Linked DNA regions of Arabidopsis thaliana. The protein of the gene in region 1 interacts with the protein of each later gene in a pairwise test. Each region holds a gene or a part of one and is shown in the gene's direction. Other genes may lie near its edges. The genes, in order: AT5G47790, IAA9 and PAP1.

Region 1 (9,608 bases):
TTTGGCAGATCTACTATTCTCTTTTCCACTTTTGATATTTTATCCTCAGTCTATTATTCCATTTGCTGTCTAGGTTGAGTTGCAAACAGCTTGTGGCCAGATGATAGATTTGATCACCACCTTTGAAGGAGAAAAGGATTTGGCCAAGTACTCATTGTCAATGTGAGTCAACTGTGGGCATTGTCTAAATTTTAGATACGGTTTCTTCTGATGGTTGATTAGATGAAAGGCAGTATTCTGACCTGATGCAATGGTTTTCAACTTGCAGCCACCGTCGTATTGTCCAGTACAAAACGGCTTATTACTCATTTTATCTCCCTGTGAGTATGGATTCTCTTCTTCCCTAGTCATATTTGGGGTCAAAAACAATCATGTTATTCCTTTTGTCTCCATCATTGCAATTGTAGATCCCGTGACAAGCTGTGTTTTTCTATTCAGGTTGCTTGTGCGTTGCTTATGGCCGGCGAAAATTTGGAAAACCATATTGATGTGAAGAATGTTCTTGTTGACATGGGAATCTACTTCCAAGTGCAGGTAGATTGCTGTTAAGTATTCATGAGAGCTATATGATAGGTAGTGTTGGGATGTTGATAACCATTCTTTTGTGTAGGATGATTATCTGGATTGTTTTGCTGATCCCGAGACGCTTGGCAAGGTTTCACTCGTGCTAACACTTGGTTTCTCAGGCTGATGTGAATGTATTCACTTGGTTCAGCATATTGGTTTTTTATAATGCAGATAGGAACAGATATAGAAGATTTCAAATGCTCGTGGTTGGTGGTTAAGGCATTAGAGCGCTGCAGCGAAGAACAAACTAAGATATTATATGTAAGAACCATATCATCTTGATCAAAAAGGTTTGTATCCTGTTTGGAACCTGAAACATGTTTTGTTCTGATTTACTAGGAGAACTATGGTAAACCCGACCCATCGAACGTTGCTAAAGTGAAGGATCTCTACAAAGAGCTGGATCTTGAGGTTTGTAGCGAACCTCAGAGATATGATGTTGTAATACACAACTAACATTTTTGCTAATTGGACATGGTTTGATCTGAACATGATAGGGAGTTTTCATGGAGTATGAGAGCAAAAGCTACGAGAAGCTGACTGGAGCGATTGAGGGACACCAAAGTAAAGCAATCCAAGCAGTGCTAAAATCCTTCTTGGCTAAGATCTACAAGAGGCAGAAGTAGTAGAGACAGACAAACATAAGTCTCAGCCCTCAAAAATTTCCTGTTATGTCTTTGATTCTTGGTTGGTGATTTGTGTAATTCTGTTAAGTGCTCTGATTTTCAGGGGGAATAATAAACCTGCCTCACTTTTATTCTTGTGTTACAATTGTATTTGTTTCATGACTATGATCTTCTTCTTTCATCAGTTATATGAATTTGAGATTCTTGTTGGTTGATGCCTGTGACTACATACATAATATTGACCAACAGAAGAAGATAACTCGATACATACATTGATTTTATAACACTGAGATTTAAGCAACTCTTCTTCTTCTCTAATGCCTACATTCCATTCCAAAGGCAAGAAAATAAAGCTTCAAGCGCAGGCCTCGACACGTCACCTTGTCGCTTAATTTAATACAACAACTAGAGTTTATTTATAAATAATGGCTGTGAAGGGTAAAAGCGTCTTATCCTCAACGACCACCATCATCATCCAGCTAGCAGCAATTGGTTTTTCACTCACACACTAGAAACAAGAAAAAGAAAGATGGGAGATTTAATGGCTCGGTCTCTCTCTTGATCTGACGACGACGATGATGGTGAAGCTTCGCAATCTTGTTCTTTTCTTCATGCTCCTCACCGTCGTTGCTCATATCCTTCTCTACACCGATCCCGCTGCCTCCTTCAAGACCCCCTTTTGTCAGTAGTTCTCTCTCTCTTTCTCAATTCTCCGATTTGAAATTTGCTTCTTATCATCTTCTTTGTTTCGTTCTGTAGCTAAACGCGATTTCCTCGAGGACGTAACCGCCTTGGTCCGTATCTTCTTCCCTCTATCTCTCTCTCTCTTTTGATCTTCCCTTCCATTGCGTCACATTGTGTGTTTCCTTTTCAGACTTTCAATTCCGATGAGAATCGTTTGAATCTTCTTCCTCGGGTACCTTTTCTTTTTCCAGTTACTTATTGATTCGCCTCACTCAGATCTTAGCTCGTTTCTTCACTTTCTTCTTCACATTCATCTTTAGGAATCTCCCGCTGTGCTCAGAGGAGGACTCGTCGGTGCTGTCTATTCCGATAAGAATTCACGGCGGCTAGGTAACTTCAATTCTCTCACTCGCCTCTCTCTGTGATGTCTTCCTTACTTGACTTGATTATTTTTTTTAACATTCTCAGACCAATTGTCTGCTCGAGTTCTTTCCGCCACCGACGATGATACTCACTCACATACTGACATTTCCATCAAACAAGTCACTCATGATGCAGCCTCAGACTCGCATATTAATAGGGTACGTGTTTTCCGGAGAATCAGATTGGATATTCCCTAAGTTGATTGGCTCCAGATTTGAATTTGATGCTTGGTAATAGTATATATTTGGATCCTTGTAGGAAAATATGCATGTTCAATTGACCCAACAAACCTCTGAAAAAGTTGATGAGCAACCAGAGCCTAATGCTTTTGGAGCTAAGAAAGATACTGGAAACGTGTTGATGCCTGATGCTCAAGTGAGGCATCTTAAAGATCAGCTTATTAGGGCAAAGGTTTATCTTTCCCTTCCATCTGCAAAGGCCAATGCTCATTTTGTGAGAGAGCTTCGACTCCGTATTAAAGAAGTTCAACGGGCACTTGCAGATGCCTCCAAGGATTCGGATCTGCCAAAGACGTAAGTGTTTCTCACCTCTTGAAATATATGTTTCTTCCTCTTTAACTGATATTTCTCTGCCATTTTTTTGAACCCCAGTGCTATAGAAAAGCTAAAAGCAATGGAGCAAACACTGGCCAAAGGCAAGCAGATCCAAGATGACTGTTCTACAGTGGTCAAGAAGCTACGTGCTATGCTCCACTCCGCAGATGAGCAGCTACGGGTCCATAAGAAGCAAACCATGTTTTTGACTCAATTGACTGCTAAGACCATTCCTAAAGGACTTCACTGCCTTCCTCTGCGCCTCACTACAGACTATTATGCTTTAAATTCATCTGAACAACAATTTCCAAATCAGGAGAAACTAGAAGATACTCAGCTGTATCACTATGCCCTTTTCTCTGATAATGTTTTGGCTACGTCAGTTGTTGTTAACTCTACCATAACCAATGCAAAGGTAAGAATTAACTTTCTTCTTTTGTTTGAACATGTAACTGTGTTTCTTTCTGTTAAACTTACGGTCTTAATGGTTTATTGGCAGCATCCCTTAAAGCATGTCTTCCACATCGTCACAGACAGACTCAATTATGCGGCAATGAGGATGTGGTTCCTGGACAATCCACCTGGCAAAGCCACCATCCAGGTTCAGAATGTTGAAGAATTTACATGGCTGAATTCAAGCTACAGTCCCGTTCTCAAACAGCTTAGTTCTAGATCGATGATAGATTATTACTTCAGAGCCCACCATACAAATTCAGACACCAACTTGAAGTTCCGGAATCCAAAATACTTATCGATCCTTAATCATCTTCGTTTTTACTTGCCTGAGATCTTTCCCAAGCTCAGCAAAGTGCTCTTCTTGGATGATGATATAGTTGTGCAGAAGGACCTTTCTGGTCTTTGGTCAGTTGATCTGAAAGGTAATGTTAACGGTGCTGTAGAGACGTGTGGGGAAAGCTTTCATCGCTTTGACCGTTATCTGAACTTCTCAAATCCACTCATTTCCAAGAACTTTGACCCTCGAGCTTGTGGTTGGGCGTATGGTATGAATGTCTTTGATCTGGATGAATGGAAGAGGCAAAACATCACAGAAGTTTATCATCGATGGCAGGATCTGGTATGCAGAAAATATATATATGCTAGGTCGCATCTGTTTTGATTTCAAGAATGTTTGCTAATCATATACACGAACGATTTTAAACTGCAGAATCAAGACCGAGAATTGTGGAAGCTAGGGACGTTGCCGCCTGGTCTAATCACATTTTGGAGACGAACATATCCGCTAGACCGGAAATGGCACATACTAGGGCTTGGATACAACCCGAGTGTGAACCAAAGGGATATTGAGAGGGCAGCCGTGATACACTATAATGGCAACCTCAAACCATGGCTAGAGATTGGGATTCCAAGATACAGAGGCTTCTGGTCAAAGCATGTAGACTATGAGCACGTTTATCTCAGAGAATGCAACATCAATCCTTAGAATTAGAGTCTGTTGTGAGGGCAATATTATACGTTTATAATCTGACGAGATGATCATTACATGAAATTGTATATGTCACGGTAAAAGGAGTTCCAATAGGCACGACCGATGTTATTATTGCAACATATATATCAACAAGAGGAATGACAACGAAACAATGAAACAACTACTTTTCGTATTCCTTTTTGTCGCTGTTTATGTAAAGCAAGTGACAATTGACATAGGTCTATAGGAGACTTTAGACTTTAATCAAATTTGCCAAAGAGCAATACAACATAAATAGTCAAGCCGATTATCGAACCAGAGTAGCATGAATATTAGCCCAGTGAAGACGAAAAGAGATTCGAATCGGAATTACGTGAATGTGATTTCGAATGACTCTGACAATACGTTTTGACTTGTGTAGTTTATTGTATATTCAGTTTAACTCTGTCACCCGCCGTGTTCAACCTTGCTGGTTCAGAGTTCCACAGGTAAGTTTTTCATAATTTTCTCACGCTGCAGTCCACTTGAGTAGTACTCTAACACAATGTTACAGGTTGGTATGGTTGCCATCAACGATGGGATTCTACTTCGTAATCACATCCACAGGATTCTCAAAGCATTTCCGTGAAAAGCCTTACTATCTTGACCTAGTTGATTTGTTAGGATATGAAATTCACTGATCCATAAAAAAAAACATAGGGGTACGTTTAGAAGAATACATAAAGTATAGGGACTGAAGCTGCAAATTTATGTTCTCAGTAGATGTTCGATCTTTGGACAGAATTGAAGAAAGGAGAAACCCTAGACTGAGTCTGGTTACTTGAAGGGGATCATGTGAATACGTCGACTGGTAAAGAAAGAAAGATTGCTGCTTTTTAGATTTAGATTCGAGAATGTATGGAAGATCTGGTCTTGACAGGTTTAAGAAGTCCCAAACTTCGGAACCCTTCTCTGTATCAGCAAATCCTCCTCCGGTGGTACAACAACATCTGTCTCCGGAGGCATTGTCGGGGCAAAAAACTCAGATTGGAGCTGGTCAATCAAACTGGCATCCCCCTGATTGGGCGATTGAGCCTCGTGCCGGTGTCTACTCTCTGGAAGTTGTGAAAGACGGCCAGATCCTTGATCGGATTCATCTAGATAGACGAAGGCATATCTTCGGGAGACAACATCAGACTTGTGATTTTGTCCTTGATCATCAGTCTGTTTCCCGCCAGCATGCCGCAGTTGTTCCTCACAAGAATGGCAGGTTTGTCATCGCTACTCAATTCTCTCATCACAGCTTTGGCCACTGTTGACATGAGTCTTTTTTATTTTTTGTAGCATCTTTGTGATTGACTTGGGATCAGCTCATGGTACGTTTGTTGCAAATGAGAGGTTGACTAAAGATACTCCTGTAGAGCTTGAAGTGGGTCAATCCTTACGATTTGCTGCCTCCACAAGAATCTACCTTCTGAGAAAGAACAGTGAGGCTCTCTTTTCTCGCCCTCCACCTCCAGCTGAGATTAAGCTTCCTCCACCTCCTGATGCTTCTGATGAGGAAGCTGTTGTTGCTTACAATACCTTGCTGAATCGATATGGTTTAAGCAATGGAGAATCTGGTGGTATGTTAGGGAAAAGGAAAGAGAAGACCGGATCAGAAGCGGGAGTGGCTAAGAGGATGAAGAAAGTGAGAGTGAGCTTCAGGGATCAACTAGGAGGAGAGCTGGCTGAGATTGTTGGCATGTCTGATGGAGCAGACGTGGAAACAGAGCCTGGTCCTATAAATGTCAAAGAAGGAAGCCTCGTTGGGAAATATGAATCACTGGTGCGAGTGACACTCATACCCAAAGGCAAAGTGAAGGAAGAGAAAGCCTTTACAGGAGGAACAAGAGGAGGTGTAACAGATCGACTCCAGGAAGCTATGAATATGTTGAAACGGGGTCCAAAAACAGGGATTTACGATGACCTTTACGGTGGTGACTCACTTGCCAAGGCTGTTGGTACGTCATGGGCTTCTGTGAGTCAACCAGCAGCTGAAACTGAATGTGGAGGGGTTGGTGAAGAAGATGATAACGACGATCTGTTTGGTGACTAACTGATTTTGAACACTGAGATTCCTTTAAGTAACTCTTCTTCTTCTCTAATGCCTACATTCCATTCCAAAGGCATTGGTATGTTGTTTCCTCTTTGTCTATCCAATGGCTGCAGCAAGAAAAGAGAGCAGCTCTAAGCCCAGGCCCATTGTCTTGTGTTATAAGTAAGAACCCTGAAATTTGATATGAGCTTGAGCCTGGTCAGTGGTCATTCTAGTTGTGGGTCTTAACAGGAGATGCATTACATAGATAGTCATTACAAATAGTGTGGAGAGTAGAGAGTAGGGCCAATGCAAATGGAGTGCATTTGATTAGACCACTACTGACTTACAGATTCTCTCCTCAAGGCAGACCAATTCCATCAGAAGAGGACATTTGTACTCAAATACCTCTCCTCTCATTCTTTTTCACTTTTGCCTTTTTGCATTATTAAAACAGCACACTAATGATGTGGGTTGACTTCCCTCTCCCCCACAAAAACAGAGATTCCATGGGGGGAAATGGACAACAAGTAAAACACTTGTAAAAATGGTAATCTGCCTCTGATGCTTTAAGATATGATTTGGGGATCAATGCATCTTTGCTTTGGGATTTGCTTTGTGACAGTTAGTATAAAGAAGAGAGAAGCTGAATGTGCTGCAACCAAATTAAAACTCTCTTTTGAGTTAAGCCTATATCCAACTCCTACTCTTCCTAGTGTGGTCCATTGTATTTATCATAAGAGTAAACTCGCTTGTAATAAATTATAGTAGGGAAAGGTGGAAGACCCACTTTTGTTTCTCACTTTCTTTCTGTTTGGTGAGAAGTTGTTTTCCTTATGCAAAAGATGGAATGCATGAAGGACACTTGTGTCTGGCTTTTTATTTATTTTGGTTGTGGATACTTTCATGATATACTTTACGACCTCAACCCTTTAATACCACACAATCTACCTCCATTCATCTTTTCTCTTCTCTTAATTTTCACCTTATCTCCCAACGAGACCATAGAGGAGTTACTGACTCCAACTTATAGCTACTAGCTATGCTGCGTAACTCTCTTAAACACTACCTTGGCACCTATGACAAATATGTTAGTGAGCCAACTTTTCTGGCTTTGATTTTCAAACCAAACAAGTATGAAGGAAATACATATCAGACACCATTTGGAGACTTGAGTCCATGCGGGGAGCAACAAGTGACGAGGCCGGGACCCTTGTTGCCATTCAACTCTCTCTCTCTCTTGGGATTTAATTTCACTAACACTTTATGTCAATTTGATCATTACCACTTTCACATCTCTCTCTCTTCTCCTTCTTCTTCTTCTTCTTCTTCCTCCCTCATATCAACCTTTGAGCACACCAGTTTTCATGGTAAAATCAATCATCCTTTTGCTTTATCTTTTTCGTTTTTTTTTCTCTCTCTTTTGGTTTTCAGAATTGTATCATAAACAGACTACATGTGAGTTTGTATCATTTAGGAATACATATAATAAAATTTCAGCTTCATCAATATGTAATTATCTTCCTGTGTCTTTCCCACTTTTACCTAAAGATTTGATCACTTTCTCATCATATGTATATATATATTCCTCTTGAACGCAGAGAAGTCTAGGATGAAGTTCATGAAAATCGGAACAAAGCCTGACACTTTCTACACTCAAGAGGCTTCAAGGTTGTTCCTTGATCTCTTTGCCTCTAAATTTCCCAAATTCCATTTCTCTGACAAAATTTTTACACTGCAGGATTTTGATAACAGACACACCTAACGATCTTGTTATTAGAATCAACAACACCACTTATCATCTCCACAGGGTATATATCTCGATTGACTCTCTTATCATAGCAGCACACACATATATGTATGTTAATAGTGGTTTCCATCTTTGTCTGCAGTCTTGTCTTGTTCCAAAATGTGGGCTGTTGCGAAGGCTTTGCACTGATTTAGAGGAGTCTGATACTGTTACCATAGAGCTGAATGACATACCTGGTGGAGCCGATGCTTTTGAGTTGTGTGCTAAGTTCTGCTATGATATCACAATCAACCTCAGTGCTCATAACCTTGTGAATGCTCTCTGTGCCTCCAAGTTTCTTCGGATGTCTGATTCCGTTGACAAGGGAAATCTGTTACCAAAGCTTGAAGCTTTTTTCCACTCCTGCATTCTCCAAGGCTGGAAGGACTCCATTGTCACTTTGCAGTCCACTACCAAATTGCCAGAATGGTGTGAAAATCTTGGAATCGTCAGAAAGTGTATAGATTCAATTGTGGAGAAGATCCTCACTCCAACTTCAGAGGTCTCCTGGTCTCATACATACACCAGACCAGGCTACGCGAAGAGACAGCATCACTCTGTTCCAAGAGACTGGTGGACGGAAGACATATCAGACCTCGACTTGGACTTATTCCGCTGTGTCATCACAGCAGCCAGGTCAACCTTCACGTTGCCACCTCAGCTCATTGGTGAAGCTTTGCATGTCTACACTTGCCGTTGGTTACCATACTTCAAATCAAACAGCCATTCAGGTTTCTCAGTTAAAGAAAACGAAGCAGCACTGGAAAGGCATCGGCGTCTTGTTAACACAGTTGTGAATATGATTCCTGCAGATAAAGGGTCGGTTTCTGAGGGTTTTCTGCTGAGACTTGTTAGCATAGCGAGTTATGTGAGAGCATCTCTCACAACAAAGACTGAGTTGATTAGAAAATCTAGTCTGCAACTCGAGGAGGCAACTCTTGAAGACCTCTTGTTGCCTTCACACTCATCCTCTCATCTCCATCGCTACGATACCGACTTGGTTGCTACAGTTCTTGAGAGTTTTTTAATGCTCTGGAGAAGACAGTCTTCTGCGCATCTTTCTAGTAACAACACTCAATTGCTGCATTCAATCAGGAAGGTGGCAAAGCTTATTGACTCCTATCTTCAGGCAGTCGCACAAGATGTCCATATGCCAGTTTCCAAATTTGTGTCTCTTTCTGAGGCAGTGCCCGACATTGCACGCCAGAGCCATGACAGACTTTACAAAGCGATCAACATATTTCTCAAGGTATCAGATGCTCTGGCCTGCTCAAGGGCAACTAGCTATGGTTGAGAGTCTCACCAACCTACTTTCAGAAATCATACATTTTGCATACAGTACTTGAAACTGATAAAACATTTGTAACATGGCAGGTGCATCCCGAGATAAGCAAAGAAGAGAAAAAACGACTATGCAGAAGTCTTGACTGCCAGAAATTGTCTGCACAAGTACGTGCACACGCTGTGAAAAATGAGAGGATGC
Region 2 (10,737 bases), 6.9 Mb from region 1:
TCCCCACTTACACCTTAACATGTCTCGTTCAAAAATATACGCTCTCTTTATTTCCAACCTTGAGCTTCTCATCACCAATTTAATTTAATTTCGTGATTTTGAAAATTTTCAACAAAAATTTCGTCATATGCATTAATTTTGATTGAAAACGATCGACAAGGTTTAATTGTGATAATCAGAGACAAGATATACTAATCACATACTTAGTGATTAAGATGTTGTTGAGACGTGGTTCATTCATACATTATCCACTTGGTCGCTATAACATAAAACCCGGAATACAAGCAAATCCAAAAAAAAAAAACAGTATTTACTTTGATCCGACAAAATCCATATTATAGGGTAAAATCTTTAACTTGGCAAAAAGGCCAAAAACTCTAATTTTCCGGATGACTATGAAACATATTTACGTCAAAAGTTTGGGACTTTTGCCGGCAATGCGTATCAACTTTTTCTTTCTCTAAGTTGTCAATTTAATTAAAAACATCTACTAGAAATATGGGTTTGATACTTTATATAAGTAATAAATAAAAACCTTTGCGACTCAAAACTACCACACTTGATATGAAATTACGAAAATGGACCTGAGCGTTTTCGGGTTTGGACCTTTGGCCTTTTGAGTTCCTAAGGGACAAATATTGGTCCATAAATCTTAAACGACTTCACGATTGAAAGTACAGATATCGATGATAAGATTGATATGGGAATACTCTGTTTCCTATTTTTTTATATAATGTTTGACGTGTTTGTATTTGTTAATAAATAAACGTAACATGTTTGATCGTTGAAGATACCAGGAAATGATAATATAAGAATAATTAAATTTTGTCACATGGGACAGTATCAGTAACCCATATATAGACTATTAAAGTCAATATTAAGTTAGATTTTACGGCTGCTACAAGATCTAATGAAAAACAAAAGAGTAGCTGCCGTGTGGAATTCGAATTTGACAAACCTCTTACTTCGATCCTGACTTATAATTTTAGGTATAGCTGTATTTTGTCTTTGCAGTTTTAATTATACATACCGCCAAAAATCAGTTATTCCAAATTTATATATTTATTTATTATTTTCTTAATAGGAACATTTGTTTCTGTTTTTTTTTTTTTTTTAAAACAGATTTCATTTAGACATAAAAGTGTAAGGATAGTAGGATAGTGTTACATTAACTTGTTTAGTGGTTATCATCATCCCATATGTCTAAGCTCGGTTTCCGCATATGCTTCACTCATTTATATATTGCGACAAGTTGATTATGTATAAGCTAGTTATCTTTGTGCTAATCCAATCTTCTATTCTAGGATGACACATGTTTAGGTTCACTAACAAAAAAAACACATGTTGAGGTAGATTATGACATAAGTTGGGCGGCCTTATTCAAAATGGTGCTTTACGAGTTAATTGTGTTAATGCTTGATCAGATTATTCCTCTATGTACACAGATATTGGTTTTAACTCCATCCGTCCATCTTGAAAACAGCGTTTTTGGATAATAATGAATAATCGATCTCTATAATGTATATTATTAGATTCATGTATATCTTGTACTTGTTCCTTTGGAATCTACATGTCTCTTTATATGTTTAAATGTTGTAAACGTTCCAGTTTGTTCAATAAAGAATAGATTTCTCTGCAATAAGAGCATGGTTAGTTTATTACACATTCACACCATGTAATGCTCTAGTTCCTCTTCGAAATTTGACACAAGATAACAATTATCTTTGAGATTTATAAGTTTCTTAGTAAGATTAGATACGATCTTTCATATGCAAACATCTATAAACACTGTTATTGACGAAAACTAAAATAAAGTAAGCACAATTATTTTCAGTTTTTCTTTTTAAATTGTGCTTACTTTCATATACTGTACAATTGAGTTTATAGAAAATTGGTTTCAAATTTCTAAAATGAAATACAAGGAATTTCTATTAGGAAGTAGACTTGCTATTTTAACTTGTAATCACAATAAAAATATCTATATCTATGTGTGTGCGAAGTGTGAACTGTGAATGGGTCTTGAATTTGTCACCGCCGTTTCTTTTAGGGTCAATGAGTATATCCACTAAACCCATCTTACACTTTTTTATATCACTTTTTTTTTTCTATCAATAACAAAAAATTCTATAAAACGTGTTTTAACCATTATAATTGTAAACCCTAAACCCCACGATCCTACACTTTTTATATCACAACTTGTGTGTTTGCTTAAAACGTTGTTAATAACCATTATAATATATATCTAACATAATAACATTAAACTTTTTAATTAGTCCAAAAAATGAACTTACAAATTATTATCTACTAATAACGATTTCAATGAGGTATGCAGCATGTTGTTGGGTTTGTTTTGAGAGTGACGCAAATCTGTCTTTTCTCCAATCTAATCAAAGATACATAGCGATTCGGTGACATCAATTCTAGAACCAAAAAGATTTGATTAAACAGAGAAATTGACTTAATATGCATTTATAATATAAGCTCTTATGTTGTAGAAAAATCCAAACCTGTTCCACAAGCAAAAACTAAGCTGTATGGGACCATGTTGATATAGACTAAGACCCTAAGCGATATGTACAAATACAGGTGTTATACATAGAAAGAAAAAGAAACCGTTTTTTTCTTTTTCTTATATCTAATTCATATACAGCTAGATATACATGTAATTTAAAATGTTATCTTTATGTAGTAATTTATTGCGAGGGATGAAATATCTGACGGAGGTTTTATGTGAAAACTCGAAGGTGTATTTGATTTTCGGTCAAATATATTTTAATGGCTCTCTCGTATATTGATGATCACGGCTCGGTACATTGTCCTATTACGAACTCGATAAAATTAATTATATTATTTTGTTGTGCAAATCCGATTTAGTAGCTCGTCGTTTGACCCTATATTGAGACATATAAAACATATAACAATTTGCAATAAATAATTAGTTGTTTTTGTGTATTTCTAGTTAAAAAAAAATTGAAAAAATTGTGATACAAAGAATTATAAAAACGTTGACAGCAACATGACTGACTAAACGAAGAAATATCTTACGTACATTACATTTTTTTTGGGGTCAACACGTAGATTATAAATTCAACAAATCCTTAATACGAGAGAGGTAAGTATATTATGGCCCATCAAGAAGGATAGTGGCTTATGGGCCTATGTTATAATATGAAATAAAAGCCCAATTATAAATGAATTTTTATATACTAGAGTGCAAAGTCTGGGCCCAAAGTAAACAGTCTAACGTGTCTTGTCGTTTGATTTCCTCCACTCTAATTATAAATTAATTAATTACGGGGAAAAAGATTAATTAACTTTAGTGAATCCATCATCAATCAAAGACTAATAAAATAAGCGTGAAGGACAAAAGCACTACGGGTCTCATTGTCTTGTCTCAACCCGCATTATTTGTACTCGCAAATGCTGCTAATCTGATCTACTGTTTACTTTTGCATTTTTGTAATAATTTATCTGTATTACTATTATTGTTTTTTACCAATCACTTTTTAATTAGACACATATTTTCATGTACTCATAATTTTAAATATAATGTCTGATGGTAGTTGTAGTAATTTGAAATAATTAATATCCTTTACTTATTATACAGACGATTAAACAAAATATGAGAAAGAGAAAATCAAAACTTTTTACGGGGAAGGTTAAGAAATGCCGTATTATTATTCTGGACGGTGAATATTTTTCTTTTACTTTCCTCTTTGTGCATAAGGTGTTAAAGACTTTTTTTTTTGATTAATCGTCTTTAAATCTTTGGTAAAAGGAAAGAAAAAAGGTTAAAAAGAATAGAGAGGGGTAAAAAAGAGATAACGTGAGTGGTACGGAAGAGTGATGATGAAAAAAAAAGAGTCAGAGAAGGTCATGATGATGATGAACGGACACAGGCCTCTCTTACTCTCTTACCATCAAATCCTACGGTCAGATTGAGATATTTTGTGCTTCCCATGCGTGTTCTTCAATCCCATTTCACCCCTTTTGTTATTATTATGCTCCCCTTTCCCCAATTCCCATTACCTTCCTTTTTTAATTACTTTGAATTTTTTACAGTAATTTTTTTTATGTATATTACACCCGACTATAATTTTTTTCTTTTTTTCTTTTTAACACGAAAAGAATGTAACCGACTATAAAAATTAACATACATAATTTACCTGTTTATTACCAACGAATTTACTTTTTTACTTTTTAACCAATCATCCTTATTACTATGGATTAAACGTTGTGTATGATGATCGTAACAGTGCAATTCAGACATATTTAATACTCCAGAAATATGTATGTTGTTCACATTCAAATTTTGTACTTCTAACAATAACACCACAAATTATACTTTCAAAAAATGAGATTTTTTTTTTAAACTCAATTCGGACAAACTTGTATGTATCTAATTTTTGTCATGACTATAATTTTGTTTCAATCAGTTTACTTATTTAAGTGCAAATTCAACAAAAATAAAAAACAAAAATCTAGCACGTGACGTAACCTTATGAAAAAGATTAATCTATAGTCATTATTAAAGTTACTTATACTATTTACCCATTCATCTATCTAGAAGACTACAATGAATGCCAAACCAAAAAAAAAAAGCAAAATGAAAAATTCAAGTTTGGGGGGACTAACATTTCTCAATGGGCCCCATCCAGTTGGGCCAATCTAAGTAAAAAAAATTGAAAGATAAGGAAACGTAATAATGAAAGTTAAAGAAATTAGGAAGGTGGCGGAATTTAATTAAATTTAATCCGAAAGAAAGAAAGTGATTATAAAAAAAGATTAACAAGTCTTAATTAATTTTAGATTAATAAAGTAGAGATAGAGAGAGAAAGGAAGAAAGTGGAAGAGGTTAGATGTCCCATTCACCACCCGGCAAACCGACTTGGAATGCCGCTTTCTTGTCCCCTCCTCACTCCTCTTTTTCTCTCTTTACCATTTTACCCTTCATTCCTCAATCACATTATCATCACATAGAGGTTACATTAGTCATTAAAAACAAAAGGATAGAATCGGAATTTAATATTTGCAGACAACCATCCCCTTTCGGGTGGAGCCAGAAAAGTGGCATAATTTTGTTTAAAGATCCGACTCCCGACATTTGTACATCAACGGTTCATATCTGCTGATTTAAATCCGACGGTTTAGAATTATCAGCACGATCAAATCTGAGCCGTTGGATTAGAATCCATTCGTAAATAAAAATACGCAACTTTTTCCACTTATTTTCTATTCTACCACTTTGTTTAGTTATTTTAATTTTAATCTCGGCTACGAGTTTCTGGGTAATGATAATTAAGCTTTTTTCTGCTTTAATGGAAGGACCTTGACACTTCTCTCTCTCTTTCTCTTTGCTATTCATCTTCTACAGTTTCTTAAAAATTATACTCTTCTTCTCCAAAATATCTCAGACTCTCTTATTTTTGATCGTCTTCTTCTTCTTCGTTGTGAGCTTCCATTTTTCATCCAGGATTTGTTTTTTCCGTTTGAGGTAATTATGTCTTCTCTGTTCTTCTTATACATAGTTTCAAATCCGGTAATTTTTAGCTTGTTGTTGTTTGTGTGTGTAGTTAGTAGTTATTAGATCTATTAGCTATTGAGTTTCTTTGCTGATTTCCTCACTATTTCTATGGCGAATTTTGGTTTGTTTGAGCTGTTGGCTTAAACCTTGCTAGGTTTAGTGATTTGTAGATAGAATTCTGTGGAAATTCAAATCTGAGATCAGCTCGAAAAATGTAACTCAACGGTGTAGTTTCTTCATCTGACCTTAAGTTGACTTCTATTTATTTTTAGCTTTCCATTTTTTTCTCAGATTGAGCTTTATTTTGCTCTAAATTTTGGTTGTGAGTTTTTCATAGATGCAATCTACTTTTGAAACCCTAATTGATACGGTTTCGAGTTTCTTCGAATTTTGATTGAAATTGAGTTCTTGATTTTTTCTGGTAATTTAGGGTTTTGTTTGAGGATTTGTTTATGGTTATGTGAATTTAATGTGGAGGACTTTGTGCTGTGTAAATCATCAGGTAAAGCAGCTTTGCAGTTAAAGAAACCTTGAGTATCCAATGTCCCCGGAAGAGGAGCTACAGAGCAATGTATCGGTGGCTAGTTCTTCACCTACTAGCAATTGCATCTCCAGGAACACTCTAGGAGGACTTAAAGAGCATAACTACTTGGGTCTCTCTGATTGTTCTTCTGTTGGAAGCTCTACTCTCTCTCCCCTTGCTGAAGATGACAAAGCTACTATCAGCCTCAAGGCTACGGAGCTGACACTTGGTCTTCCTGGATCACAATCTCCTGCGAGAGACACAGAGCTTAACCTTTTGAGCCCAGCAAAGCTAGATGAGAAGCCATTCTTTCCTTTGCTTCCTTCTAAAGATGAGATATGCTCCTCCTCGCAAAAGAACAATGCATCGGGAAACAAAAGAGGCTTTTCTGACACAATGGATCAGTTTGCTGAAGCTAAAAGTTCAGTGTATACTGAGAAAAACTGGATGTTCCCTGAAGCAGCAGCCACCCAGTCTGTAACAAAGAAAGATGTGCCACAAAACATACCCAAAGGACAGTCTAGCACTACAAACAATAGCTCTAGTCCACCTGCAGCCAAGTATGAATAGAAGATAGGAGCATTCGTTCGATTTTGATATGGATTACTTTCAACAGCTAGCTAACTGGTGTTTTTTCGGATTCTGGAATTTTCAGGGCACAAATTGTCGGTTGGCCTCCAGTGAGATCCTACAGGAAGAACACATTGGCCACTACTTGTAAGAACAGTGACGAAGTTGATGGGAGGCCAGGTTCTGGGGCTCTCTTCGTGAAGGTCAGTATGGATGGTGCTCCTTATCTGAGGAAAGTTGACCTGAGGAGCTACACTAACTACGGGGAGCTTTCTTCAGCCTTGGAGAAAATGTTCACCACTTTCACTCTTGGTGAGATGTTTCAGTGATTGCTAGTGATGTGTTTGAAAACCTCTTTCTATTTAAGGATCAATGAATGAGTGCAGTCAAAGTAGTTAACCTGCACTGTTTATTTGATGTTTAGGTCAATGTGGATCTAATGGAGCTGCTGGGAAGGATATGCTTAGTGAGACCAAGCTCAAGGATCTTTTGAATGGAAAAGACTATGTGCTCACTTATGAGGATAAGGATGGTGACTGGATGCTTGTTGGAGATGTTCCGTGGGAGTAAGTTTCCTCTCTTATATTCAAAACTTGTTAGAAGCTTTCTCTACTCTCTGCCAGATATCTTAGAATCAAATCTAACATGCCATAGAAGATTATATCATGGTGATTGGTATAAGCGCTCATGAGTGATTTCTGATCCGATGTATATTACAGGATGTTTATTGATGTCTGCAAGAAGCTGAAGATAATGAAAGGGTGTGATGCTATTGGGTTAGGTAAAGTCTATTCTTCTCTCTGCTCCTAAGCTACAACGTAAACTACTATCTCTACTAAAACCGATTACAAGTAGTGTGTATGATGAGATTAGTGGTTTGTTGGTGTGAGTTACTTGTAGCTGATTTAGAAATTTCAATTCATGTTTGATCACTCGTCTTCTTTTGGGAGTAAATACAACAAATTAACATGTAAATAAAATCGAAATTAAACTGATTTCAATTCATGTTTGATCACTCGTCTTCTCTGATTCAAAATGTCTTAATGATTCAATGTGGTGAACTGGTGATATTGCAGCTGCAGCTCCGAGAGCAATGGAGAAATCGAAGATGAGAGCTTAAAAGATGGAACATGACAAAGCTTTCTAACTATACAAAATATGTGCGATCTTTTGGTGGTGTTTTTAAATTTCAAAACATCAATATCTTTAGTTTCTGAATTTTTAAAATGAAGTAAGTAAGACTACGAATGTAAGGAAATGAAGAAGAATTAAAAATGATCTATTTTTGTTGTTTGTTTGTTGCTTTAGTCAGTAAACTGGTCGTTGTTTTATGTTTTGTGTTTGATTTGGATGTGTGGTTGACTTCTACCTTTGAGATATTATTTGATGTAACGTTTTTGTTATTCTCTTCTTTGCTTCTTCTCGAGAAGAGAAGATAGACAATCCGGTTTTACGATTTGGCTTTCTATCATTGAACATGGAGGTTCTTCTTCTGCATTTGCAAAACAATCTTAAATATTAATCAGTACTTAAATCTTTGAGGTGGATTGTTAAATTCTAACACATTTGAATGCGGAAGTGGTAAACCTACGTTTTTCTCAATGTCTATGACTCTATTCTAAATGGAATATCAAGATTAATCAGAAAGAAAAAAAAATCTTTTTATAACTGTCATAACTAAACTGTGCTACCAAATCATTGCCACCAACGGATCTTTAAACCAACTTGAATAATTCACCTGAAGAACCAAAAGCTACAAGACAAATCAAAGATAAATAAAAGTAATTTCGCCGGGAAAAGGTTTTGATATCATTATTTCACTTTTTAACCTTCCATGAAACTTTGTTTACCTTAGCAAGCATGGGCTGCGTACAAACTCATGATAACTATATAGTACAATCCCCAAACGAAGATATCATAAATTTCAACGAATCAGTTTTAGATTTAGTGAATAACTATAGTTTAATAGTATCGAATAATATCGTTTGAGAGAAAAATAGTCAAAGATACATGAACATAAATTCCCATATACTAATTTCCCATTTCTCATTCAAGGAACGTTTATTATTTTTCTGTTCCTGAAGGTGGAAGCATAGTGCGCCTCTTTGGGTTTGGCAATGGTGGTTTGCTTATTTGTTTTATGAAAATTATTTTTGTGATATCATTTATTGTTCATTTTTAATAATTCCGTTAGCGTTGACAAAACAATATGATTAAACCCCACCTAAAATGAAATGTTATATTCAACTGTCCAATTTTTCAAAGAGGCGTTAATTAATCAATTCCAAGGCATATATTCGATCAAGATAATTAAAGACTCATATAGTACTCTCATAGTTTAAGAGAACCTACGGGTCGAATTTAAATCACTCTTGTTACTTTAAAACTTTAATCCAAATAATGTAGTATATATCTGTGATTCTTGTAGCTAGCTTCACGTGAACTTAATAGTATACACATAAACAACAATCATTGGTCGTGAATCTCATTTAATTCGTTTCGCTTTGATGCACTTATTCGAATGGGACATACTATATACATCCATATAAGTTGATAAACTATATAGTAATATTCAATGTTTTTAAAATTAAATATATGAAATAGACTTAGGGAATGACATGTCGAATTTGTCTCCAAAAGATATGAATTGAATTATGCTTCTCAGTAATGGAACGTGGCAATACCTTTATCACTCATCTATATATGGTTGTTCCCCAAAATTATTTCTTCATCAAACGAGAAAAATAAGATTGTAAATGTAAATGATTTGATCATCTCAATGTTGCATTCAAGAATAGTATCTATAATATTTAGTTATAAGCATTAGGTATTAGGTCAATTATATTCAACTGAGTCTACGAATCGAATTGCATATTGCGTAAAAATTCAAATAAAAGAAGCTAGATAAATGAATATACGTACGATTACGAGAATGAATGTGTGTTTCTTCGATTTGGTAGACCTTCAACAAACCCACCGAATTGATGGTATCCATAGATTTCTTATCAGTTATCAGTCATGGGAGAGATTTACGATCTCATATATATGGACAAAATATATCGTATCAGCATTATTATTGATTTATTGTTTAGTTAAGTTCTTTTTTTTTTGGTTTTTCCTTTTTTTCTTTGAAAGGTTTGATTAGCAGTTTTGTCCGGACAGACCAAGTATATATATACAATAATTGTGATTGTGTTAGGACATTCAAAATCTTCCATACAGTTTTCGAATTAAGTTGGTATACAAGTTTTTCAAATGTTAAATCAAATCCAACTAAACTAGATTTGTTAAGGATACATAGGATCATCTCTCTTTAATATCATAATATTCCTCTATCTCCTTTATGGAACATTCTATATTTGTACAACCCTAGTGTAGCCTCCTCTGTACTTGTATATATACTTGTGTAAAGCTATTCGTATAATATAAGTCATTACATTCTTAACATGGTATCAAGAGCCTAATAAGAACATTGTTGGTTGTAAATGGGTATTTAAAAACAAATTTCTCCCTAATGGTTCTCTTGGCAGGTGCAAATCAAGGTTTGTGGCAAAAGGGTATAATCAACAACTTGGCCGTGATTATACAGACACTTTCAGTCCTGTGATCAAGTCGACCACCTTACGTCTTGTTCTTGATGTTGCGGTAACCCGATCGTGGCCAATCCGACAATTAGACGTCAACAACGCCTTTCTTCAAGGCACCTTGAAAGAAGAAGTTTACATGGAGCAACCTCCTGGGTTTATTGATCCCGACAATCCATCATTCGTTTGTCGACTACGTAAAGCGATTTACGGGTTAAAACAGGCTCCGCGTGCTTGGTATACGGAATTGAAGACTTATCTCCTCACCTTGGGATTTCAAAACTCGTTGGCTGACACTTCTCTGTTTATTCTGCAACGTGGCAAATAATTTGTCTATCTATTGGTGTATGTCGACGATATACTAATCATGGGTAGTCACAAAGGAAGCATTCAACAAGTTCTTGATGCACTCGCAGCTCGCTTCTCCATCAAAGACCCTGAAGATCTCAACTATTTTCTTGGTCTAGAAGATCATCGGACGTCTAAGGGCTTACATCTTTCGCAGCGAAAGTACATTCTTGATCTACTTCAACGCT
Region 3 (9,917 bases), on another chromosome or scaffold:
CCATCCATGAATTTTTAATTATTTTACTTTGATATGTAAAAACTCCACTTGCGTAAGAGGTGAAGCCTTCTGGAATACAAGTCTGATAAGAAGAGATGAGAAAAAAAAAAAAAAAAATTAGTTTTCTATAGTCTACTCTAAATATGCAAATACAAGCACCCAAAAACATGAACAAAATTTTGAAGAAAGGAGTACAATCAAATATGCAAGGCATGATTTTTTTTCATTCAACTCTAAGAAACTTGCATTATATATGTGATAAATTCACAAAACTACTAGTATTAGTAGTCAAAACTCAATAGTCAACCCATTTTTCCATAAAGGCATGAAGTTCATGAACATTGATGATCAACAATTGGGCTCATTTTCAGCGTGATTTTCATGGGCCAGTTATACTAGAGGATCAGTTCAGACCTTATCCATATTTGGATTATTTTTTCTTTTATTCCTCTTTTTATTTTGTTAAAATGATATCAATTTCTTACATATACTCCTTTTTTAGTTCACTAAAAAAATTAGTGAGTGGATAAAAATAATTTTATTTCTTGGTGAAAATTCTAGGAAGAGCATCATTGACACCACCACTATTCTCACTTGCTTTTCTTTATTTCCCTTGATATGACATTCAATTCACGAGTTGTTTTTTTGTTCCTTTTCTCCTGAGTCGGCTACTTTTTTAATCGGATGCTTTGCTTTGTACTCTTTTAATCACAGCCGTCACATTTGCTATATCTCTATTCACTTCTACGGCTTTGATTAAAGCCCAAATTTAAACCTTATCGTACGATCTCAAAATCTTGTGCAACTTCAACATGTGTCCACTGTCTAGTTTGTCTGTGCGGATCTAGTTAGTGCGGTTAAGTTAAACCGGAGAGGTTCAGGTTATGTTAACCATGGTTAAGGTTTTGTCTGACAGTGAGGGAAGAAAGTCACGGAGTTGGGTAAAACGGCGACAAGATATGACTAGAGACACACTCCTTCTTCAATTTCCTAAATTACCCTTCCTTACTTGACCGGAACTCTCACTCGAGATTTTTCTACGTCGGCTTTATCGTAATATCGGTGTCACACGTACGTGGGAGAGACATGTACATTCTTTTCCCCCTCCTGAAAAACCAAATAAAATAGCTTCAATCTTTGGTTGAAAAACTTGAAATATGTTCTTGATTTACGCTGCAAAATTATGTACATTTTTTAAGATCAAAGGACCAACTACAATTGTTTCTGCTAAAGTCTTTTCTTTTGTTATTTTTATCAAAATATGTTGATTTTGTAGATTTGAGAAAAGAAAATTTTTGATTAGGAAAAACAAACAAACAGTTGACTATTTACTTGGTTGGGGAAGCAAATTAAATTATACCATCGTAATCCACACGTACACATTGTTTTTAACTTTTGACAAAATAATTGTTTAGCTACCTAACAAATTGACATATTGTGTGGCAAATTTATAAATAAATAATTACATATATCTCACTGAGACGCCATGCAGATTCGTATGTTTATACAATGCCTCACCCATTTCTTGAATTCTCTCAATTGATCTTCCCATGATGTTCATTTATTATTTGCTTTATGTATATCTTTGTAGAATGGTAGTATTACTATTAAAGTATCAAATTACCATGACGACCTATAGAAAAATGTTTTTAGAAAAGCATAGGGATATGTGTCTTATGGACAGTGGATAAGAGAGTGGTCCTAAAAACAGACCATAAATTATGGGATCTTCCCTTAGTTCCTTTATTGTTATCATATTTTAATTACTCTTATTAGTATTTTTTTAATGGTCAAGTTGTTTATTGGAATTACGCATTTAATTATTTTTCTAATTCGTATACTTGTGAGAAACAGAACAGCACGCTTTGCTTCTTTTACTAGACAAACCCTTAATTAGCGATATTTGAGGCAGAAAAAAAGACAAGGTTGCGTGTGTTTTACTCCACAAAAGAACTCCTAAAACCAAAAACGTTAAAACCCACTTCTTTTTTTTCACAGTATTCTCTTTTCATGTCAAGAACAATTACTGTTTTTCTTGGTATGCAATCTGTAAATTTATTGTAGTTTTCATTTCTACTTTTGGGGTTTAGGAGTAAAAGTGGAGTCACTCTACTTTGCTTTACCTTTTTCTGAGTTTTTTTTTGTTCATACAAATCCAAATTTCCTTTTCTTTGTATTCCTATTTTTTCTCTTCTCGTCCCTTTCAGAATCTTTAGAGAGAGAGAACAACAAATTGAGAAAGAAAAAAAGGTAAGGCTGTGTGAGAGAGAACCCACCAAAGCGTGCACGAGAGAGAGAAAAAAAAAGCTTTGATTTTGTATAAAATCCCACCACTGCTCTCTTACCATACCTTCATTACACATCTCTCTTTCTCTCTCTCGCTCTCAGTTTTGTGGGATTGTTTCTTTAAAAGGGGTTCTTAGGGTTTAGTGAAGCTATAGATTTCAATTTCATACATAGTTAACGTATAGAAGGAATCTTGGGTTGATCAATGGAAGGTTGTCCAAGAAACAGAGAAATCGGTCCAAAACTTCTTGATTTGATTCCACAAGGAAGGAAATGGTACCAAGAAGACAAGAACAACACAGATCAGGAGAAGAAACTTGAGCTAAGGCTTGGACCACCCGGTGGTGATGAAGAAGATCATTCAGCAATCAAGAAGAAGAACACAGAGATAAGAAACATCAAGAAGGAAACAGAAGACAAATCTTTCCACTGTTTTAATGGCAATCACTTCTCTCCTTCCAACAAAACCACTTCTGTTCCTCACATCTCACAGAAAAGGTATAATCTCCTTTTTTTTCCTTCACTGTTATTTTTTCTTACTGCTTTGACAGAGGATATTCTCTTGAACATTAGGGACCCATCTTCTGCAATCTGTGTTTTTTTTTTTACCTTCACATGTTAAAAGTTTCAACATTTACTCTGTTTTGCTCTGTTTTTGTCGTTTGGTATTGACATATGTCTCTTGTTTCTTTTGATATCTGGTTCAAAGAACTGCTCCTGGTCCAGTGGTGGGTTGGCCTCCGGTTCGTTCGTTCAGAAAGAATCTAGCGAGCACAAGCTCTTCAAAGCTAGGTAACGAATCCTCTCATGGAGGTCAAATCAACAAGAGTGATGATGGTGAAAAACAAGTTGAAACCAAGAAGGAAGGAATGTTTGTCAAGATCAACATGGATGGTGTTCCTATTGGTCGTAAAGTTGATCTCAATGCTTACAACAGCTACGAACAGCTCTCTTTTGTCGTTGACAAACTCTTCAGAGGTCTACTCGCAGGTTAAATCTTAATCTCAAATTCTGTTTTTTAGTTCTTTAGGAGTGTTACTTGTGTTTACTGAGTATGATTTGTGTATGTTGTTGGTTTATAGCTCAAAGAGATATCTCTGATGGTCAAGGAGAAGAGAAACCTATCATTGGATTATTAGATGGGAAAGGAGAATTTACTTTAACCTATGAAGACAATGAAGGGGACAAGATGCTTGTTGGGGATGTTCCATGGCAGTAAGAATCTTTTCCCCTTTTGTTCTCTGAATCTGATTCAGTGTTTTGCAGAATTAGATTCTTGATCATATAACAACAAAAGTTCTCAGCTTTTAATCAATAGTAGTAGTAATTCAAATTGATAATTCTTTACCTAAAGAATAGAATTTTGCTTGGAGATTTGTTTATACCTCTTTTTTTGCATACTAACTGATCTTTAATCTTTGTTTTTAAACACAGAATGTTTGTTTCATCTGTGAAGAGACTGCGTGTGATTAAAAGCTCTGAGATTTCATCTGCCTTGACATGTAAGCTTCTGTTCTTATATGTTTAGATGATTTATTAGAGCTATATGATTAAAAGGGTTCCTCTGTATATTTGCAGTTGGATGCAGTAAGCAAGAGAAGATGATGCACTGAAGAGTCTTTTTAGAAACTTTTATTTCAGACAGAGAGTCTCAAAGCTTTATAAATGTACATCTGGTTTTTGTTATATATAAGAGTTAATCATTGGTTTTTTACTTTTTTTTTGGTCCAGAGAAACATTTGATCTGATCTGATATTCCCATGTCTTCAAGACACTAGACGATGAGATTACATAAGCAATCTGTGTTTATAAGCATTTTAATTAATTAAGGAGATAATTAGAACATACTGTAATAATTATCTCATGCATGTCTGCAAAACTCTTTTTGAAAAAAGAAGATGAAATTTTTATTCTCTGTAAAAGCTCTTTTAACTTTTGTTCCTTCCAACTTTGGCTATACCTTTAATCATGTAAAAAGCTGAGAATGAAAGGCCATTATTGTTGTTTTTGTTGTTGTCTTTTTTTTTCTTCTTGTTTTTACTATTTAACCTGAGTATGCATGTATATAAGAAGATAAGATTGGAAGTTGAAAACTCAAAAAAGACTTTTCAGAATGAGATCAGTCCATGTCGTGATAATTTTGGTGGCTATATCATCTCTTTTGTTCTTCTAGGTGCAGAATTTAGCAGCTTTTTATCCTGACTTTTTAAATCATACATACACATTGTAACTTATTGGACAGTGTCTTGGTGGATCGACTAAAACATCACTATAGATATGTTTAATTTAGCACATTGTTTTCGTGATAAATATATTCATACCACAAGCATCACTTGGCCGACTTGTATTCATCTTAAAAATTTTATTCGAAGTTGTCCTTCTCATTACCAGATGAGTGTTGTGGTTAAACAATATAACCATTGAAATTGATGCAGCCAAATAGTTTGATAATAACATTTTTTGGTAGCTAAATAATGGTATATGTTTTAACTTTTAACCAAACCAAAAAAGAAACATTTTCGAAACATATGTAAAGCGATAGCCGCAACATAATGAGTTGGAAAATTCCGTTGTTTCATTTGTTGCAAAATGTCGCACCAGTGCCGGCTCTAGGGGAGTGCTAGAGGAGCAAAAGCACAGGGTCCTCAATTTTTTTTTCAATTTTCTTTAAGGTTTTAGGGTCCAAAAATTACAGAAATTAAAAACCAATATTAACTAAAGTCAGTTTTTATAAATCAGCAAAAGGTCTTCAAAAAGTTTGAACCGGCCCTGCGCACCACTTATTATATTTTCATTGTTTGGAACCTAAAGATATATTTACATACTAACTTTTACCTTATTAAGCATATGCAAAAAATAATATAGCGCAACAACATGAGCAATTGACAATTCGTGGTGTCTTCTTATAAAGCAGTAGTGAGTGTATGGGTTAGAATTTGTGGTTGGGGTCTGGGGGAAAATACTGAATGGGACATGAAAAATAAATACGATAGAAACATTGAATTTTTTTTCAGAATAGTCATTTTCGTTGAGACATGCCTAACTCATAGCAAATGTGAGACTTATAACTCGTTCTTTAGATAAAGGAACCCATCATTTAATATACATGATTGTGATGGTTATCTCCACCACTGCAACAAAGAATTGAACTTTGAATACCTGTTTTTTTTGCTGATAAACAAATAAAAAAACTTAAAAATGTCGACGTAAACCTTCTAGTTTAGTTTCATCAGTTATTAATTGTCCATTGTGTTATTAGTGAATATCAGCAAATACACTGCGTAACGTTTCGGGTATCTTTATTCGGACTGTGTGCCATTTTACTCTTAAATGGGCCTTACATCAAGAATTTGGGTCCATGCTGGGTCGGTCGACACACTCCAAACAGTCACACATATATTAAAGTTTATAACCAAATCTTTGAAAATTTTGATTTTAAATGAATTGAACATATATGCAACGAATAGTACTTGTCAATAATTATTTTAGTCAACATTTAAATGCTATAAGGTAAGAATTGAACCACTTGATAATTTGGTACCACCTTTAAAAAATAATATCTTATTATATATAACCCTACATACTAATGTATCTCCTATTTGTAACACCTAAGAGCGCTGTATAAAATGGAAAATATTTCTCCGACATACTCTTTAAACGTAGAGAACACTAACGACTTTATCTTGTAAAACAGTAGGAATATTTGGCCCACATTAAGAAAAACAGTGAAAGGTTTCTTCAATATATTCATCTCTTACACTAGAGTCATGTCTACCTTACGTACAACTTTGAATATATATAGTGATAATGAGGTTGGTTCTTGTAGTGGAGTTTTATGGTAAATAGTACAATTTTTTGTTGTGGACAGTGGAGTAAGGTGGATAGGTTTATAAATTTCGTCGGTGATCCTTACACATTTATAATCTTTTCCATGCGTGTTTTGAAATCTTGCTCAACTAAAATTTGTATGTACTAGTTTATATAAAATGAAATAGATGATTATGGGTTTTGACTAGAGACAAGATTCTCCAATATAAAGAATTCATCAAGTGGAGGCGCCCATAACTGTTGAATATGTATATATATTTTTTTTAATTTTTTTTTGGTAAAATATGTATATATTTTTGTTTCTAAAGAATAATGAATTTGAGGGTTGAATCCTTCTACATGTCTATCCCACTTAGCTCTCCTATATGATGATCCCTTAGAAAGTTTTTAAATCGTGTGTCAAACAAATTCACGCTCCAAAATAATTCAAGTTAAATTGTAGAGACAACTTGACAAAAACGCCGATTTCTTTGAATGATAAAACGATCAAAATTTTAAAACGTAGAATTTTAATAAAAATGGATAAATCTATATAATTGTATGAAGAGAGTGATATATTTTTGTTATATCTAAGGAAAATAAATAGATAATACAACAGGAAAAATCCAAAACAAAAGAACACAGATACGGAGATCAGTCTTTCAACAAAGTAAGTTTATACAGTAGGTCATGATCTAACTATTTGAAAGATCTTTTATTAAAATGTGTGAAACGTACCAGCAATAAGACAATGATGAGTGTTCTTCTCGACACTCACGAGCCAAAGGGAACAAATCAGATGAATTCAAAACAGATCTAATATAAAAGAAATTGAATACATACAAAATCAAATACTTCCCTAACCAGCCTAATGCGTACGTAGGTATAAACATCTGAATTAAACTGAAAATATCATAAGGAGAAGATAGAACGAAAGAAAGAATTTAGCATTTTTTAGTTGTGATGGGCCTATCGTATTACTTGTGTGCTCATAATGTAAATGTATAATCATTGAGTTATATGAATAAATGTTTCTATGAGTAAAGTGTCCCTAAGCTATCGAGTGCTTCTAGAAACATCCCTTTGACATATAAACGCTTAATGACTTGTTCGTTTCATCGGTTAAACTTTTATTCATATGTTTCTATATGCTCCTTTCATTTTAAGTAGATATGGTTTGTGAAGGGTTGTATCGTAAATTTAAGCGAACAACAGAGAAATCTTTGAAAAAGAGACAAAACTTATGTCTTCTTATTGGTGTATCTACTTCTTGAGAACGAAGCAAGAGACAAAGTGAGTCTATTAGTTTTGGTAAGGAAGAGGAAAAGCCATAAGAAGCAGAGGTTCTTCAGAGATGGCCTGACGAAGATAACTTTAAAGAGTGCCAATTTCATAGAAGGGGTCTTATGGCACACAGGGTGAAGTCAGGCAAAAAGAAAAAAGGAAATAAAAGAAAGGCAAGGTAAATTTTTACAAATATATAAATAAGTTTTCAGTTAATTTAACACTGATTAGGATTACGATTTGAATAAGTTCTTCTTGTAATTCATGTAATAGCATATACAGTATATGGAAAGCTTGAAGCTCACTTCGATTATGTTCTTAAATGTTTAAATTCTTTCTCTCTCTCTCTCTATATATATATATATATATGAATTTGTAATATTCATAATGATCATTGAATTAATCTCAAATTTTTATGCAGTTTTAGACAAGGTCTTTTACCCATTTTATAAAGTTACGTTGTTTTATCACGTCTGTTGAATTGATGAATCGAGCTATCATGTTCATGATCATGTTCGGTGTCGAATGTGTGTTTTCATTTGAAGCTATCGAAAAGAAAAAAAAACAGACATCATAATTAAACTTCTTATAGTATAGACAAATATGTGTGAGACATGATCAAATGAATTGAGTTTGATATTTTGTTTTTGGTAAATGAGTTGGATATAAACCAGCTAGAAACTTACTTAAACACTTATTTACAGTGATTAAAACATTTAAAAGAGACCTGAACATACTCCATGCAAAATTACAAACAGTAGTAGGAAATCAAGAATCTTCACGTATATATGATTAACTAATGGTAAACGCAGTAAGATAATTTGCCTAATGTAATCAAATTTTAAAGTCTTTGCAACGTAAGTCCGTGCGTCCCATTGAACAAACTCATCTCCCATTTTGAAATTGTTGGGCCGTGGCGGGACAACTCAATATTGGTTTAAACGTGTAGAATGGTTTTAAAATATGTATAGGTTTGTCAAATTAAATGATGAGCTAGAAATTGCGTTAGATGACAACAAATCTTCCAAATATATCTTAATTAGTCTGTTCGTTCCATAAGTCATATGGCTTGTTTGATCTTTATGTTGCATCCCGGCTGAATGATTTTATAAAATTACGTCGATATTTCTATATAGTATAGATGCTGTAAGATACATTTCTATTTCTCTCTGAAGAAATCTTTAGCATTACCACTGCTTATCTTTATTCGTTGATCACTATCAAATGAAATGTGAATAATTCGTCATCCTCTCTTTGAAACAAAGAGCGTTTATAATGCTTGAAACAAAATTTTGTCTTCTCAATTTTAAACCTTACAATGATAGTACCTTTCAAAGTGGGTTGAAACATGTTGTAGACATTTTTATTTATGTGGCTTAAAGACCATGCAGACAATTGTTTGAAAAAGAACACAAGAACATACATTTGCAGATTTAAATCTATGGGAACTAACTCCAACGCAAACCAAAATAAAATCAAACCAAACCGATCTATAACTTCGGTTAGATGTGAGCTTCATTTGTACTAAAACAAAATCAACCATACTGACCCAAACCCAATAAAATAAAATAAAACTAAATGTCCATTCCTAATTTTATATTCAGCGATTGGATCTGTCATCTGTACGAGAACAACTCATTGTCCCCAAAATAAGATCCCAAAAGCTTTTTGTTCGCATGCCAAATGCATTTTAAATTTTCAATAATTATAATAAATTTTGGGTTAAGAGATTTATCATCCAAAGACTCTTGCTAACCAAAAAAGGATTATCATCACTAATTTACGTCTCATCGTTAGTATCATCTACTCTGTTAGAACCAAAAATATAGTCTTGTCACAAATCTAGGTATTCCATAGTAGAATTTTCCTGACAATGTAAAAGGTAAAATACATTTTGCTTGCTGCGGTAAATATTTTTGTTTGTCACGATGATCGAAGTTATTGGTCAATTTTTACCGGATGTATGTATATATATTTTGCAACCGTGAAATTTCCATAACGACTATAGAATCTAAAATTAGTATGACTTCCCAAAACCATATAAATCACACCCAAAAAAGTACAAAGAAAAACGTTAAAAGGTACATTGTTTCACAAAGTTAACTTCATTTCTCGAGGTAGACAAAACCCAATGCTACTACCTTCTTTGATTGGTAACAGAAACTCATCATTAAGACATAAAGTTTCAACTTTTTGTTATAGTTTCCAGTTTCACATTTGTTCCTCACCAAGCCACACTCCGACATGAGCATAAACCTTAGCTATAATGATGGGAACAACTTAGTCAACGTTTCGTCAACCACGACCGTAAAAATATATAGTTTGGTTTTGCATTTATATGATATATCAATCCATTTGAAACCAGACTATATTTTAGAAACAGCTAATAAGTCAAGATAATCAATGTCATTAGCGTAATGCACGCTTCATACTAAATAAAAACGGATTAATTTGTGATTGTTTCAAAATTCATTAGATCTTCTTACCTTAAGAAAAAATTTCTATTTTGGTTAGCATTTAAATTTATACTATATATTTTA

Evidence for each region.
Region 2: the proteins of AT5G47790 (region 1) and IAA9 interact in binary tests that used the Arabidopsis thaliana proteins (3 or more experiments, as listed by UniProt).
Region 3: the proteins of AT5G47790 (region 1) and PAP1 interact in binary tests that used the Arabidopsis thaliana proteins (3 or more experiments, as listed by UniProt).

What each region holds. Positions count from the first base shown.
Region 1 is NC_003076.8:19,346,223-19,355,830, forward strand, and holds AT5G47790 (SMAD/FHA domain-containing protein), read left to right. Parts: upstream 1-5,069; 5' UTR 5,070-5,173; coding exon 5,174-5,529; intron 5,530-5,603; coding exon 5,604-6,357; 3' UTR 6,358-7,273; downstream 7,274-9,608. Other genes in the region: FPS1 (farnesyl diphosphate synthase 1), read left to right, coding at 74-162, 269-320, 439-534, 611-655, 739-828, 907-978, 1,065-1,193; GAUT4 (galacturonosyltransferase 4), read left to right, coding at 1,769-1,874, 1,953-1,987, 2,068-2,109, 2,198-2,267, 2,346-2,458, 2,559-2,833, 2,912-3,269, 3,354-3,929 and 1 more; AT5G47800 (Phototropic-responsive NPH3 family protein), read left to right, coding at 7,379-7,706, 7,938-8,007, 8,078-8,147, 8,229-9,374, 9,500-9,608. UniProt on the Arabidopsis thaliana protein: Inhibitor of protein-phosphatase 1 (PP1). Binds to and inhibits PP1 activity.
Region 2 is NC_003076.8:26,248,398-26,259,134, forward strand, and holds IAA9 (indole-3-acetic acid inducible 9), read left to right. Parts: upstream 1-5,010; 5' UTR 5,011-5,494; intron 5,495-5,549; exon of another isoform or gene 5,550-5,738; intron 5,739-6,026; 5' UTR 6,027-6,065; coding exon 6,066-6,607; intron 6,608-6,702; coding exon 6,703-6,929; intron 6,930-7,041; coding exon 7,042-7,183; intron 7,184-7,336; coding exon 7,337-7,398; intron 7,399-7,693; coding exon 7,694-7,737; 3' UTR 7,738-8,147; downstream 8,148-10,737. UniProt on the Arabidopsis thaliana protein: Aux/IAA proteins are short-lived transcriptional factors that function as repressors of early auxin response genes at low auxin concentrations.
Region 3 is NC_003074.8:5,606,783-5,616,699, reverse strand, and holds PAP1 (phytochrome-associated protein 1), read left to right. Parts: upstream 1-1,896; 5' UTR 1,897-2,491; coding exon 2,492-2,784; intron 2,785-2,995; coding exon 2,996-3,276; intron 3,277-3,368; coding exon 3,369-3,501; intron 3,502-3,720; coding exon 3,721-3,788; coding exon of another isoform or gene 3,789-3,814; exon of another isoform or gene 3,815-3,864; coding exon 3,865-3,899; 3' UTR 3,900-4,497; downstream 4,498-9,917. UniProt on the Arabidopsis thaliana protein: Aux/IAA proteins are short-lived transcriptional factors that function as repressors of early auxin response genes at low auxin concentrations.